Stegostoma tigrinum: one gene and its partner. The protein of the gene in region 1 purifies or fractionates together with the protein of each later gene. This does not show direct contact. Links are inferred from orthologs where the notes say so. Each region holds a gene or a part of one and is shown on either strand. Other genes may lie near its edges.

Region 1 (6,924 bases):
TTAAAAGAATGAGAGTGGGATCTCAATGAAACATATTGGATTCTGAAGGGATAACACTGTGGAGCTGGAAGAACACAGGAGGCCAGGCAGCAGAGAAGTAGGCATAGTTGATGTTTCTGGTCAGGACCCTTCTTTTCCTCCTCTTCCGACGCTGCTTGGCTTGCTGTGTTCCTCCAGCTCCACACGGTTATCTCTAACTCCAGCACTGGCAGTTGTTACTATCTCTGAGGATTCTAAAGGGGGTTGACAGAGTAAATAATGAAAGGATGTTTCCCACATGGGACAATCTGGAACCCGACGGCATTGTCTCTGAATAAAGGGGTGTCCATTTAAAATTCAGAGATGGAGGAATTTCTTCTTTCAGAGGGTTGACAGCCTTTGGAACTGCTTGCTACAGGCAGCTGTGGGCGCAAAGTCATTGTGCATGTACTTAATGCGGAGATAAATCAGTAGAGGAATTGAGAGTTATGAGGAAAGGGCAGGAAAGTGGATATGAGAAATGCCGAATCAGCTATCATCCTGCTGAATGGCAGAGCAGGCTTGAGGAGCCAAACCATCCAACTTCTGTTCTTATTTCTTATGACTTTTCAGTTTTATAGTTTCCGGTAGATAGTTCTGTTGCTATCAATGGCCGAGAGTGTTTGCTTACTATTTTATTTTCAGGCACCAAACCTCTAAAGACTCTACCCCATTTAGCTTGGTACTCGTGTCATACAGCATATGGGGAGTTTCCTCAGTATTAAGATGGAAATTGATCTCCCAGAGGATTGTGTGATGGCCACTCATACTAAGCCTGTCATGGACAGGTTCATCTGTGACAGGTAGATTGATGGAACAAAGTCAACTATGTTTTTTTATTTCTTCTTTCAACAAAATGCAATCAGAGATTCAGGACCAAGAGTGCCCTCCAAGCCTTTGTGATCCTCAGCAATTCCTTCAAGTCAGAGCCTGAGGGTTGACCTTATCGAGGTTTATGACGTCATGAGGAGCACGTATAGGGCGAACAGCCAAAATCTTTTTCCTATGAGAGTCCAAAATGAGAGGGAACACATTCAAGGTGAGGGCAGAAAAGATTTTAAAAGCTCCCAAGGGGCAACTTTCTCATGCATAGGGTAGCCAAAGGAAGTGGAGGAGATGGGTACAATTGCAACATTTAAATAGCTGGATGGGTGTTTGAGTACAAAGGATTTAGAGGGATATGGGCCAAATGCTGGCCAATGAGACTAGGTCAGATTGGGATATCTGGTTGGCGTGGAGCAGTTGGACCAAAGGGTCTGATTCTGTGTTGTATGACTACGACTATTAAGGTGAATGAATATCGTTGCCATTTTAACAGCGATGGATCTGAATCTAGCCAGAAGAGGTTATGCATATCAACTGTCAGGAAATCCATATTTCCAAACTTTCTGATTGAATCAATATCAGAAGTGACCCTTAAAAACACAGCCCATGTTTCTAACAATGTTTAATACCACAAGAACTCCTGTCTTCCAAGGTATTAAGTATGTCACATAACTCATTGCTGTTCCCAACCTAAAAGCAATTCGGCGTGTAATCACATCCATTTCCCTTGGGCAGCCACTTGCTCTGCAGAGCACGCACAATATCTCTGCGGTTGTGTTCGTAAAATATAAACTTTGTTGAAGCCATCGGAACGCAGATCTGAAACATTGTGAAATCCCTGGGTACTTCATAACCTTGTTCTCCCTTCTAATGCGTCACTTAGAGATACGATTAAAATAACTACCAACGCACAATTCTTGAAATTAAGAGCAAATATTAAAAAAAACAGCCCCAATCGAAGTTGGGATCCGGCAAAAGTCAAGTCAACAGAAAACGACCGACGACAAAATTAAAAGAAAACTTACGTTTCAAAACAACGATCCACATTATCGGACATGAGAAGTAACATGCACAGCTGCTCCAAGGCTATAAGCTGCATGTCCCTCTCGTCTCCCTGGCCCATTTGTAGCCATTCCAACAAGGTATCGGGATCCACATCGGCCATGATGAGATAGACCTCTTAAATCCCTGACAGTTATCCCCACTAATGTCCTCCTAAAACTGGGAGGCTGGTGGGAAAGTCCCTGGGAAGAGAGATCACCGTGTTTTCCACAACTGGTCCGAAAGAATCTAGCCAAAAAATAAAAGAAAGTACACGTTAACGGATTCTTTTTTGTGCATGTTATTTCAGTTCATCATCAATTCCCCCACTCTAAACCATCCCCTCGACCTTCCATGAAATAAATAACCTGAGAAAGTTTGGGCAAGCGATTTCCACCCGAAACTAACGCACTTGCCCGCTCAGGAGCCGCCATTTAAACATATTCGGCCTAAAGCTGGCGGATCAGTATTGTCCAGGCCCAGGCCGATGAGACTCAACAGCCGCCTCACGGGGACAGAGACGCAGGCCCCAGGCTGCCCGGTCCGGTCAACCCCGGGGCGGGGCGCTCGAAGGTAGTGACCGTGGCCGACGAGGCCCACTTAAACCGGAGAGGCCTGGGCCTCGCTTCAGCCTACCGCCCGGGCGGACACACAAAGAGACTCGGCCTGACCCGGAGATGATGATGATGATGATGATGATGATTGGGGGGGGGCGGGGGAAAGGAACAGGGTAAGACAGAGCAGTCCGTTGCGGCCGACTTCCCCTGGGCTAGCGCCTGGATTCTGACCGTAAGGCCTAGCGTCATCAAAGCCGGCTGGCCCCGAAAGCGACTCCTCGTCCCGTTCTCGACGACGGCGGCAATGTACCTCCACTCACCGGCTCTGGCTATCGGCGGCTCGAGAGACACCGCGGCATCATATCCTTTCCCCTCACTCTCCTCTCCCCCGCCGCCGCCGCCAGGCTGGCCGAAGTGTTCAAGAACAAGGGGCCGAGAGCACCTCCTGGTCGTGGGACCGAAACCGGAGCTCCAGGCACCGAATGCAGAGGGAGGAGGAGGAGGAGTAGGAGTGTCCGTTCCTCCCCTTTACCTAGGGAGCGACACTGAAACGCCGCGGCCTCTCACAAACGTCAAACCTTGTACGTCTCTCCGTGTGGTTATGTTTAATCTTGGAGAAATTAGATATAAAACAAACAACCACATTTCACCTCCTTTCGAAATACATGATGGGTGAGTCTTTTTTAAAAAAAAACACCTTGTGACCGTTGAATTAATTTCGTCGCTGGAGCCGTGAAAAACAAAACATGTTTTTCATTTGAGGCTGTGGAGTGGTGTGGTGTTCTCGGAGGGTTTCTCTGCGGGCCTGTTGGCAGAAGGACAGTTTCATCTGCCGTTAAGGTGAGTTTCGACGACGGACGCACAAATGAACGGATCGCTTCTCATCATTTCGAGGTAGATCGAGAGAGGCGTTTATCTCACAACGAACACCACAAAATCATATCATCTGACCGTTGTCATTGCTGTTTTTGTGCAGATTTGCTGTGTGCAAATTAGCTGCCATACTTCCTACAGTGCAGGCGTGACAATACTTGAGAAATGTCTCAGGTGAGGCCAAGCATTTTCTCTGATGAAGGGTCCAGGCCCGAAACGTCAGCTTTTGTGCTCCTGAGAAGCTGCTGGGCCTGCTGTGTTCATCCAGCTTCACACTTTGTTATCTTGCGATGACTTGTTCCTTTCAAGGTATCTCTTTTGACTCAGCCTTAGAAAGACATGGCTTATATACGACTCTAAAACATGTACTGTTTTTCATGAGCTTTTCAGATGCTATTTAGCTGAATAAAATACGTACAAGGGCACTTTTTCAAAGTGGTGTAGGAATGCCCAGCCAACATTCACCCCTCCACCCATTTCCTAAATCATACTGTTGGTTATTCGTAAACAGTTATCTTGAGAAAACGTTGAGAAAAAGTTGAGCATTAACCCAGTGGTATTTGGTATTGGTATTTGTGAATCAAATTCCAGCAATGGGTGAATAACCCTGCAACCTTTTAAATACCACAGGAGAGGTTAAGGCAAAGGGAGCAAAACATTATTTAAAATCTAGTACAGCCAAAGACAGAGTGATACTACGTTGGTCATTTTCCAGTTACTCCCGCAACCAAACGAGTATCAAACAATACGCTCTGTATTCCTTTAGAATCAACTAAGGAGTTGAACCCGGATCTTTGGGCTGCTCTGGGTCTTCGTACGTTTTGTGCAGAAGAGGATGTCTCCAGTGCTCCGTGGAATATTAACATAACATTGGAAACACCAGTTACAAGTGATAAGGCCAATTTCATTGCCATAGAAAGCTCTAGCTGTCAGCTGAGGTCAGAAGGTGCATTCTATGCTGCTAAGAAAAGCACCGTTCACTTCAAGTTGGGCAGTTCCCAAATAATGAGCTGCTGACTTGCCACAGGTCCATCTGCTTCAAAGGGGGCTTACGTCTAATAGCTCTTGCTCAACAAGCAAGTGGAATCTATCATACCAGGCAAACAAGTGAAAAACATGAAAAGAAAAAAGACACAAACTATTCTGTTAGTAGGCTTGAATGTCAGAACCAAGTGCCAACAGACAACTTGCAGCTGATGATAAAATGCAGAAGACAACAGTGATTCATGTGGAACTTGGACAGAATATCAACACAGCTTCCCTCCAAGACACCATATTCACAAAGAGTGGATCACTGAAAGAAAAACATATTCATCTGATAGGGAAGAGTTCAGAGCAGGTTTATGCGTCTGGTGTAGGTTTTGTTGTTAGGTAATTATTAATTTTGGTGATGGAACTCACTCCAGTTAGTTCAAAATATATTCTCCGCATCCGCTTCTGAACTCAAGCAGGGTCTGTTAACTTCATGGGCATCTGTGCTCCATGACAGAGGTGAAAGACAAGTTCTGTGAGGAGCGAGACACTGTCAGAAGAATCCCCAAGTCAGGATATCTTCATCCACTGGGGATTTCAGTGCAAGAGGGGATGCAGACCATAAGACATGGCCCTGCTGTCTCTGAAAGGTATATGAAAACAGACAGAAACAAATTAAGCTTCACCACTGTCACAAGCTTTTCAACACCTTTCAGAACAAGCCATACCATAATGTTGCCAGGAGACATCCAGGGTACAGCGTCCTGGAGACATTCTGGTGTGACCCAGTGGATGGAACCCTTGAAGCTTTTCTTCAAAGCAGAAATGTTGCCTTTGTATCAAGATCAAACATTTTGCCCACCATGTAAAAACCAACAGTTCCTCAACACAACACGCATTCACCAGCATTTCCACAATGAACACCAAAATAAAATGAAACATTCCATCAACGATATGCACTCTCAAAATATGGAAAGCAACACTAGGAAAGTGCTAACTGATAGAAGTCTGACATCTAACTGCCCTGTCAATATTCCAGCATTGGAACTGGAGACTTAACCTCCAGAACTAACCACATCTGTAGTTTAGCCGTTCAGTGTAGCTGTACACTGGCATCTAGCTGACAATGTGGAAAACTGTCCAAATATGACCTGTCCACAAAAAGCCGTACAAATCCAATCTGGCCAGTTGCCACGCCATCAACCATCTTTCAATTATCACCAAAATAATGGAAAGGTTTGCAACAGTGTTATCAAGCAGCATTTACACTGCAGTAACCTGCTCACATTATTATTTTGTGGTTCACCAGGACTCCTCAGCTGCTGCCTTCATTGCAGCCTTGGTCCAAACATGGGCAAAAGAACTGAACTAAGGAGGGGATAAAATCAAGGCAGTGTTTGCTTGAGTGTGACATCAAATTTAAAGTCAATGGGAATCAGGAGAAATATTCTGCACTGGTTGGGATCATACGTAGCACACAGGAAGATGGTCATGCTTGTTGGAGCCCAATTAGGGGATGTAATGCCCTAGTGGTATTATCACTGAACTGTTAATTCAGAGACCCAGGTAATGTTCCAGGGATCTGCATTTGAATCCCACCATGACAGATGATAGAATTTGAGTTCAATTAAGAACAGAACTGAAATTAAGAGTCCAGTGATGACCATGAATTCATTGCTGGTTGTCAGGAAAACCCCATCCAGTTCACTGGTGGCCCTTAGGGAAAGTGGAGTTAATATTCAATGTATAATTTTTTCCATAATATACTGAACATTAATTCATTTGCCATGGGCAAAGTTGCAAGTACTGATAGTGTACCATATGAACTCATAAAATATGAGAAACTGGTACTCTTGCAGCAACTGTGATAACTTCTCTTGCCTCTGCTGCAGAAATGGGGCAACAGCAGAATTGCAAAAATTTGCATGGCAGCTTCTTGTTCAACATCTTGAGCAAAGTATTTGGCTATTGTTGCCCTTGACAGACAGTAGTTCCTGCTGAATCCATTTACCTCAAATCCTAGTATTTTTCAGAACTGGAATTTCGACAGTTGTCATGAACTTCTCAGTCCAGCAACTGCAATAGCAACACAATAACAAAGGAGACCATTGTGCATTGCCTTCATTGATCTTATAAATGCATTCAGCCACGTGGACAGAGACAGTCCATTCAAGCTGCCATCCAAAATTGTTCAATGTGATCTCAACCATGACAATACAATGGGTAAGATCAACTACATAACAGAACAACATCAATACATAGTGCAGTTGGTGTTCTGGCACCGACAGTCCTTGGCATATTCATTCCTCACTTTGCTCCTGGAGTATGCCTTCAGGATATTCACAGAAACTGTCTCTTTACAGCCTTGTTCGTCTGAGTTCCAAGACAAAGATGCACCAAGCCATCATCAGACAGTTACTCTGCACCAACAGTGTTACTATCTTTCCATATTGAGGAATATCTGCAGCAGCAAATACTCAAAATCTTTATGATAATTCCCAAAAGGTCGGTGGGGAATCAGTAATTAATCTCCTATCGGAGCTTGTTGAGTACAAGTTCCCTCGGTAACAGGCAACGACTGACCCAGCTGAAAGTCATTGCCTGAACCTCACTGTTTCAGTAAGTCTATCGGTCTGTC
Region 2 (7,800 bases), on another chromosome or scaffold:
ACTAGAATCTTACACAACTGTAACATAGCTTTCATCTTCTTGAGATAAAGGCTAACATTTCTTTAGCCTTTGTAACAAACATTTGCGCCCATCCACTAGATTTAAAGTTATTTCTGTACTTGGATATCAAAGTCTATCCAATCATCCAGATTTCTTAGCTTCTCACCATTATAAAACTATTCCAATATATGTGCCTTCAGGCAAAACAAATGGAAGGATTTTCTATTGTATGTTAAGTCCAAGCTGCATGACTTCAATTGACCCACATTTTGCCTATCCTAGTAATGTTTCGTAGCAACTTTTCATCCCATTTTACAGTCTGCTGTGCCACATAACTTAATGCTGTCAGCAAATTTGGATATACAGCTACCTATTCCTTCATCCAAGTACTATTACATAGCCAACACTAACAGTAGGATGCAATTACAACGTAACATGTTTACTTATACAGCCTACAACATAAATGTTGACATAGAAATTTACAATTAAAAACACCTTACCCCAATGTGGCAGAAACAAGATAATCAAAAGCTAGAGATAATGGGAAATGCAGATGCTGGAGAATCCGAGATAACAAAGTGTGGAGCTGGATGAACAAAGCAGGCCAAGCAGCATCTTCGGAGCACAAAAGCTAACGTTTCAGGCCCAGAACCTTCATCAGAAAAGGGGGATGGGGATACGGTTCTGAAATAAATAGGGAGAGGGGGAGGCGGATCGAAGATGGATAGAGGACAAGATAGGTGGAGAGGAGAGTATAGGTGGGGAGGGGATAGGTTAGTCTGTGAAGGACGGACAGGTCAAGTGGGTGGGATGAGGTTAGTAGGTAGGAAATGGAGGTGCGGCTTGAGGTGGGAGGAGGGAAAGGTGAGAGGAAGTACAGGTTAGGGAGGCAGGGATAAGCTGGGCTGGTTTTGGGATGCAGTGGGGGGAGGGGAGATTTTGAAGCTTGTGAAGTCCACATTGATGCCATTGGGCTGCAGGGTTACATTGATGACTGTATCGGTGCTGCCTCATGCTCCCAAAAGGAGCTCGAACAGTTCATCCACTTCAACACCTTCCACCCCAACCTCAAGTTCACGTGGACCATCTGCAACACATCCCTCACCTTCCTGGACCTCTCTGTCTCATCTCCGGAAACCACCTAGAAATCGATATCCATTTCAAACCCACCAACTCCTACAGCTACCTGGAATACACCTCCTCCCACCCACCTTCCTGTAAAAATTCTACTCCCTATTCCCAATTCCTTCGACTCCGCCACATCTGCTCCCAGGATGAGGCATTCCACTCCTGTACATCCCAGATGTTCTCGTTCTTCAAGGACCGCAACTTGTCCCCCACCCCCCACAGTGATCAAGAATGCCCTCAACCTTGTCTCCCACAACTCATCTCTCACATCCTGTCCCCACAATAACTGCCAAAAGAGAATCCCCCTCGTCCTCACATACCACCCCACCAACACACCATCCTCCGACACTTCCGCCATCTACAATCCATCCCTACCACCAAAGACATTTTTCCATCCGCACCTTTGTCTGCCTTCCGGAAAGACCACTTTTTCCGGGACTCCCTTGTCCGCTCCACACTCCCCTCCAACCCCACCACATCCGGCACTTTCCCCTGCAACCACAGGAAGTGCTACACTTGCCCCACATCTCCTCCCTCACCCACATCCCAAGCCCCAAGATGACTTTCCACATCAAGCAGATGTTCACCTGCACATCTGCCAATGTGGTATACTGCATCCGCTGTACCCATTATGCTTCTTCTACATTGGGGAAACCAAGCGGAGGCTTGGGGACCACTTTGCAGAACACCTACGCTCGGTTCACAATAAACAACTGCACCTCCCAGTCGCAAGCCATTTCAACTCCCCCTTGCATTCCTTAGATGACATGTCCATCCTGGGCCTCCTGCACTGCCATAATGATGCCACCCGAAGGTTGCAGGAACAGCAACTCGTATTCTGCTTGGGAACCCTGCAGCCCAATGGTATCAATGTGGACTTCACAAGCTTCAAAATCTCCCCTTCCGCCACTGCATCCCAAAACTAGCCCAGCTCGTCCCCACCTCCCTAACCTGTTCTTCCTCTCACCTATCCCCTCCTCCCACTTCAAGCCGCACTTCCATTTCCTACCTACCAACCTCATCCCACCCCCTTGACCTGTCCGTCCTTCCTGGACTGACATATCCCCTCCCTACCTCCCCACCTATCTCCTCCTCTATCCATCTTCGATCTGCCTCCCCCTCTCTCCCTATTTATTTCAGAATCCGCTCCCAATCCCCCTTTTCTGATGAAGGGTCTAGGCCCGAAACGTCAGCTTTTGTGCTCCTAAGATGCTGCTTGGCCTGCTGTGTTCATCCAGCTCCACACCTCTTTATTTGAAAGCTAGGATTTGCAGACGTGAAGTAGATTCTTAACATTTCACAAAAATTATAGTAGACTTTAAAGTAGGTCAATAAAGGAGAACCAGGGAATTTTGGATCTGAATAGAAATTCATTAAAAATTAATTTAGGATTGTTGTCAGTTATTTTTGTTTTACTTCAAACTGCAATAAATTACCATAAAAATCAAAACATTCAGGGCATCCAAAATATAATTAGATATGATTAATATGGAGTTGCTATCATGCTTGAAGTGAGCTTTAACAGAATGATTAGTGGTGTCTAATCTCTGAAAAAAAATTATGTAACAGCTATCAGAGTGACTGTTTTGTTCAAACTCCATTCTGTTTATTAAGGTGACCAGTGAATATCCAGAGTTGGCTGATAAATAACTAATTTCATGATAACCAAAGTAAAATTACATTAATCAGATTACCTCTTACACAGCAGATCCCCACGTTTTTAACTTCCTGTATTCTTGGCACTGTTCACTACAATATGCCTCATTCCTCTATAAACCATTTAGACAGGACTAGAACACAGTTGAGATGGATAATTTATTATAATGTTTTATTTATTTAAATAATGGAAACAAGGAAACAATATGTTCTATTTTGTTTCTAGTTACGGTAATTTTTAAAAAAATCTGAGACATGCAAATGACAAAAATGATAAATCTAAACCTACCCTGCCAACAGGCTGGATTTACTAATACTAATTTAAAGCTATACATTCTTCCAATTAATTTTTTTCTTTTATTTGTAACTTAATGCTCATTACAAAAGTTTAAAAAAATGAATTCATTGAAAGGATATGTTTCGGTTCCTTCAACAGCGATGTCTTCAGCCTCATTCTTTAGAAATTGAATTGGACACAATGATTAAATCAACTCCAGTAACAGAGGTCAACTCCACTAACTGCAACGTCTTCAGTGGCTGCCAAATTGACAAGAATGTTACCAGTTGCACATCATTGTTGAATATTAACACATTTTCAGTTTCAAATTAATTTTTATCAAACAGTCAAAAATGACCATTGGAAAGTGAATCCATTTTTACACAAATTAAAAGTGTACATAGCTACACAAATTGAGTATACACAGCATTACAATTATGTGACTATTTTCTTAGTATAACCCATTATAGCAAAAATATAAATTTGACATGGAATAATATTGCAGTAATATTTGGACGGAAGTATCAAACTCTAAGCAAGTTGCTTCTGTGCACATCATGAAATTTCTTCAAAATCTTACAAATCAACGTTTTAATTAATCTGTATGCCACAACAACAAACCTTGGTACTCTAATTTAGCACTTGTGCAAAATTTAGACAACATGCCAATATCAGTTACTCCCAAAACCTCATACCCGCAAAATTCAAACAGTGAGAAAACGCAAACACAGTAGAACTGAAAGCCCATTTTTTGAGATGCATTTCCTTGGTACATGTCACACAATCCGGACACCGCCAGCCATATAGAAAGTTATCAATACTGCCAGATTGTACCTATTTGGAAGTACGAATCCCCATTTTGGTCGAAACATTGCGAACCATCTTGATGCATTCTACAGTTGTAAATACAAACAAGTTCCAAATGTTCAACATGGTATTTCGAGCGATCATAAACAAACACTCCCTGACACTTCTGAACTGTCCACTGATGGATGGCAAGATTGAACCGAATAGGCCAAATGGGTTCGCTCACACAATACAACACATCAGTTGGCAACAAAAACCGAAAGAACTGCGGATGCTGTAAATCCGGAACAAAAACAAAGTTGGTGGAAAAGCTCAGCAGGTCTGGCAGCATCTGTGAAGGAAAAAACGAAGTTAACGTTTCGGGTCTGGTGGCCCTTGCTCAGAGGAAGGGTCACCGGGCCCGAAACGTGAACTTTTTTTTTCTCCTTCACATATGCTGCTGAGCTTTCCCAGCAACTTTGTTTTTATATATCACTTAGCAACAATATTTGCCCTATTATCAGCAGGAGCAGCAATGGGCCAGGATGTCATTTCATCTCAAACCCACAATCTATAAAGTCTGGTCCTGACGTAACCCTTTTACACATAAAACGATCGAGTGTTACACACACGTTTTTTTAAAAAAAAATGGACTGTACCAATTGACAAGCAAAGCCCACCGCTTTTACCTCGGCAATCTAAAGGAAGTCCCAGACCTCAGCAATTCGCTCAGAATCCGCTCCCCTACTTCAGTTAGGCTCCAAACAGACTACAGTCTCGCGGCGCCTCGCGAGACCGCCGCTCGCCGCTTCTTGGCAACCAACACGGCAACCGCGGCGAAAAAAGCAAACAGCTTATACTTTTTAATTTGATAATTACCAGCCCGTCGGTCTTCCTCCAAGACAACCAGCCTTGCCGCGAAATTAAATATTTATTTTGATTTTTAAAAATTTGGCATCAACCCCATTTTTTCAAACCGGCTTACCCACAATGCTTTGTCCCTCAACGAATTTCAGTCAAGTTTAGTTTTCGGCGCCATTTTCGACTGGGTCCGAGGTAAGCGCTTGAATTTTTCTCGAATTTATTCCTTTATTTTTTAATTTCCCCGTGCGAAAGTGGTCCCAAAATATTCCTAATATTTTTAAAAAAAAATAACAATCATTCGGCGCCGGAAAATCGAGTTTCGGAGTGATTTCCAAGGTATTGATGTAGTGGAAATGAAATCTGTTTTTAGCGGGATGAGATGCATGACAAATTTGTAAACATGTTGTTTCAGGGAAGTGGTTGCTATCTGCATTTTTTTAAAAAGCCCGGTTCCATTTATTGCATTGAACTAAACTTTTGAGAAATATGAACTGTCGAGTTCGTTAAATAATTACGATTGTTATCTCAGTCAGAATTTTAAATATTTTTCATTTTAGAATAGTTTTTTCTCCGATTCTTCCCTCCCCCCCCCCACCGCATTTTAGCTTTTGATTATTTTACTTGTTGGTGTGTTCTGTAAACTCAAACTACTTCATTTAAGCCATCGAACTAATATTAGACACAATTCATGTCAAATTTTGTTTTTTTTTAAAAAGTCTGTTCGTGCGCCTATTTAAGCTTAGTGACGTAGACTGCCTCAAATACACGTCGTTATATACAGCTTTTTTCATTTGATCAAATTGTTCCATTTTGAGTAAACGTTGTGTCCTTTCTAGTGAGATTTGTCTTTTATGTAATCTATACGGTTGACTTTTTAAATACAGTTTTTGTAACGTCATGATGTGGCGTTGGATTACAGTAAAGTACAGTAACTTTTCCTAATCTGGGTAGGGTTGCGGTAAATTTGGAATTAATGGGTTTTTTTTCAGGAGGTACTTTTTTTAGCCGAACTTTGATTTTTGTTTCAAAGCTTTTCTAAAGATATGGGCGTTGTGGGAATGAAAGGAATTGAATGGCAATGAAGGGATAACTACGTTTGCCTTGAGTTTTTTTTTGTTATAATAATTGCTGAACTAGGTTAAACCATGCCTGCCAAAACGAAGTCTTCTACAGCAAAGCAAAGCGCAAAACTGGGTCCGGGGGGAACTGAGCCCCTGGATGAGTTTGACAACGAAATGGATATCCAACAAAAGGCAACTGCATCAAATGTAGATGAAACTACAAGAGGTAATTTTTTCTTTGTCCGTGTATGGTTAATTTTATTTGTATTTTAAAATTTGTATTGTTAAAAATGAACGCATTTCATTTCTTGTATCTTTTTAATAAATTGAAGCTGTGATAATCGCTGCCGTTTAGTTCGTTTTGAAATTGGATTTAGCCGCCTAAAGTATGGCTAAACAGGTTGCCGATTCCATTGCCTATACGCCGAAATTGTTTTTGTAATCATTTTGCAAAAGTACTTCATGTGTTTTACCTTGGAGTTAACGGGTGTAGTTCCATTCAGACATGGGAGGAAAGCAGCCAACATTAACTAAACTTGTCAAGATCGTATTTGAACTCCGTAAGCTTCAATGACAATTGCAACGGATTACTTGTACCTAGAAAGTTGGTGCAGTAGATTTTTTTTAACCGGTTTTCAGCATAGGCTTGTAATAACTAGTGTTTACCCTGAAAGAAATATGTCCAGTCGTGTAATGGTTTACTTTTTTTCTTTGACAGTTTTTTTTTGCCCCTGACGCTGCAGCGCAATGGGGTTTGAGTTTTCTTTTCATTGTGTTCCCTTTTTTCCTTTGCGCGTTTTTGTACAGTACGTGAATTGTGGGGGGAGGGGTTGAGTTTCTGTAGCCTGGAGTACAAAACTGCTTTCGGAAGCTGCTGAAGATGTAAGAGATTTTAACCGAGAATTGATAAGACGTGTGATTTATATCTAATTACTTTCGTTTTTTACAAAAAAACGTGCGTCAGAAATTTAATAAAATTAGTCTTTTTCCGTTTTGTTGCTGCAGCAACTCCAAAACCAAGTATTTGGCAGGCGTACAAAACGCAATAGCAGCATTAAACTAGTGCAAGTTGAATACTTACTAGCCATTACTGCCGTACAGTACTTTTATGATCACTTTTTTCATGAATGCAAATTAAGTTCCTGAAATGTGATCTGTGGCAGTGTTTCACAGAGCATCCATATGATCTTGCATTGTAAATTAAAATATGTTATTGCGGCAGACTCTTCTCACAAGCATTGTTTTAAACATACACTTCAATTTATTAAATTAAACATAGTGCACTTCATTGTTCATATGTGTTGCCCATGATTATAAATATTGATTTTTTTTCATCAAGAATGGTGCATGAATAATTTAAAGAAAAATATAAATATTTGTCTGGAACTGTTTTGATCTATTAAAACAAGCCTGGGAACAAAATGTTTCTGATGGTCTTAATTTTTGTGGAACGTTGTTTTGTAATTGGACAATTTTGAGGTCATTTTGAACAGTTATGCATAACATTTTTGTGTATTAATGGTAATACCAAGTGGTATCTAACTTTTTTTAAACATCAAATGTGTGAAATGAATTGACTTTTTATAAATATTTGTGGTACAAAACTCTTGTTACATGAAATACTAAACATTATGCCTTGGTAGGATAGTGTTTAATTTGTTTTGTCTCTGTTTATATGTTGTCTCAGAATTACCAGTTGAACCAATAGATAATCGAAGCTTGGAAGAAATTTTGGCTGGCATATCTCCTCCTCCACCCCCAGCAATGACTAATGAACCCGGAGCTCCTCGACTCATGATAACTCACATAGTGAACCAGAATTTCAAGTCATATGCAGGAGAACAAATCCTGGGTCCTTTTCACAAGGTAACAGTTCACAAAAATTATACTGTTATCTAAATTCACTTTAAAAATTATGCTGTACTTAAATTCAAATCCAAAGTAATTTTTTAAAAATCAAATCGAAACATTTTGGGTGGAGATGTGAAACTGAGAAAATGCCTGGTCAGTTCCCTTAATTATAAAATT

What was found. The genes of interacting proteins can lie anywhere in the genome.
Region 2: the proteins of hectd1 (region 1) and smc4 purify together in Homo sapiens (affinity purification with western blotting; 3 studies listed by BioGRID, with this or other methods). This does not show direct contact. The link is inferred for Stegostoma tigrinum from reciprocal best matches to the Homo sapiens genes HECTD1 and SMC4.

What each region holds. Positions count from the first base shown.
Region 1 is NC_081363.1:60,981,066-60,987,989, reverse strand, and holds the start of hectd1 (E3 ubiquitin-protein ligase HECTD1), read right to left. Parts: upstream 3,044-6,924; 5' UTR 2,752-3,043; intron 2,543-2,751; exon of another isoform or gene 2,253-2,542; intron 2,134-2,252; 5' UTR 2,009-2,133; coding exon 1,869-2,008; intron 1-1,868. UniProt on the Homo sapiens protein: E3 ubiquitin-protein ligase which accepts ubiquitin from an E2 ubiquitin-conjugating enzyme in the form of a thioester and then directly transfers the ubiquitin to targeted substrates.
Region 2 is NC_081367.1:27,392,834-27,400,633, forward strand, and holds the start of smc4 (structural maintenance of chromosomes protein 4), read left to right. Parts: upstream 1-4,787; 5' UTR 4,788-4,903; intron 4,904-4,939; exon of another isoform or gene 4,940-5,047; intron 5,048-5,848; 5' UTR 5,849-5,856; coding exon 5,857-5,998; intron 5,999-7,459; coding exon 7,460-7,638; intron 7,639-7,800. Other genes in the region: ift80 (intraflagellar transport protein 80 homolog), read right to left, coding at 3,199-3,238. UniProt on the Homo sapiens protein: Central component of the condensin complex, a complex required for conversion of interphase chromatin into mitotic-like condense chromosomes.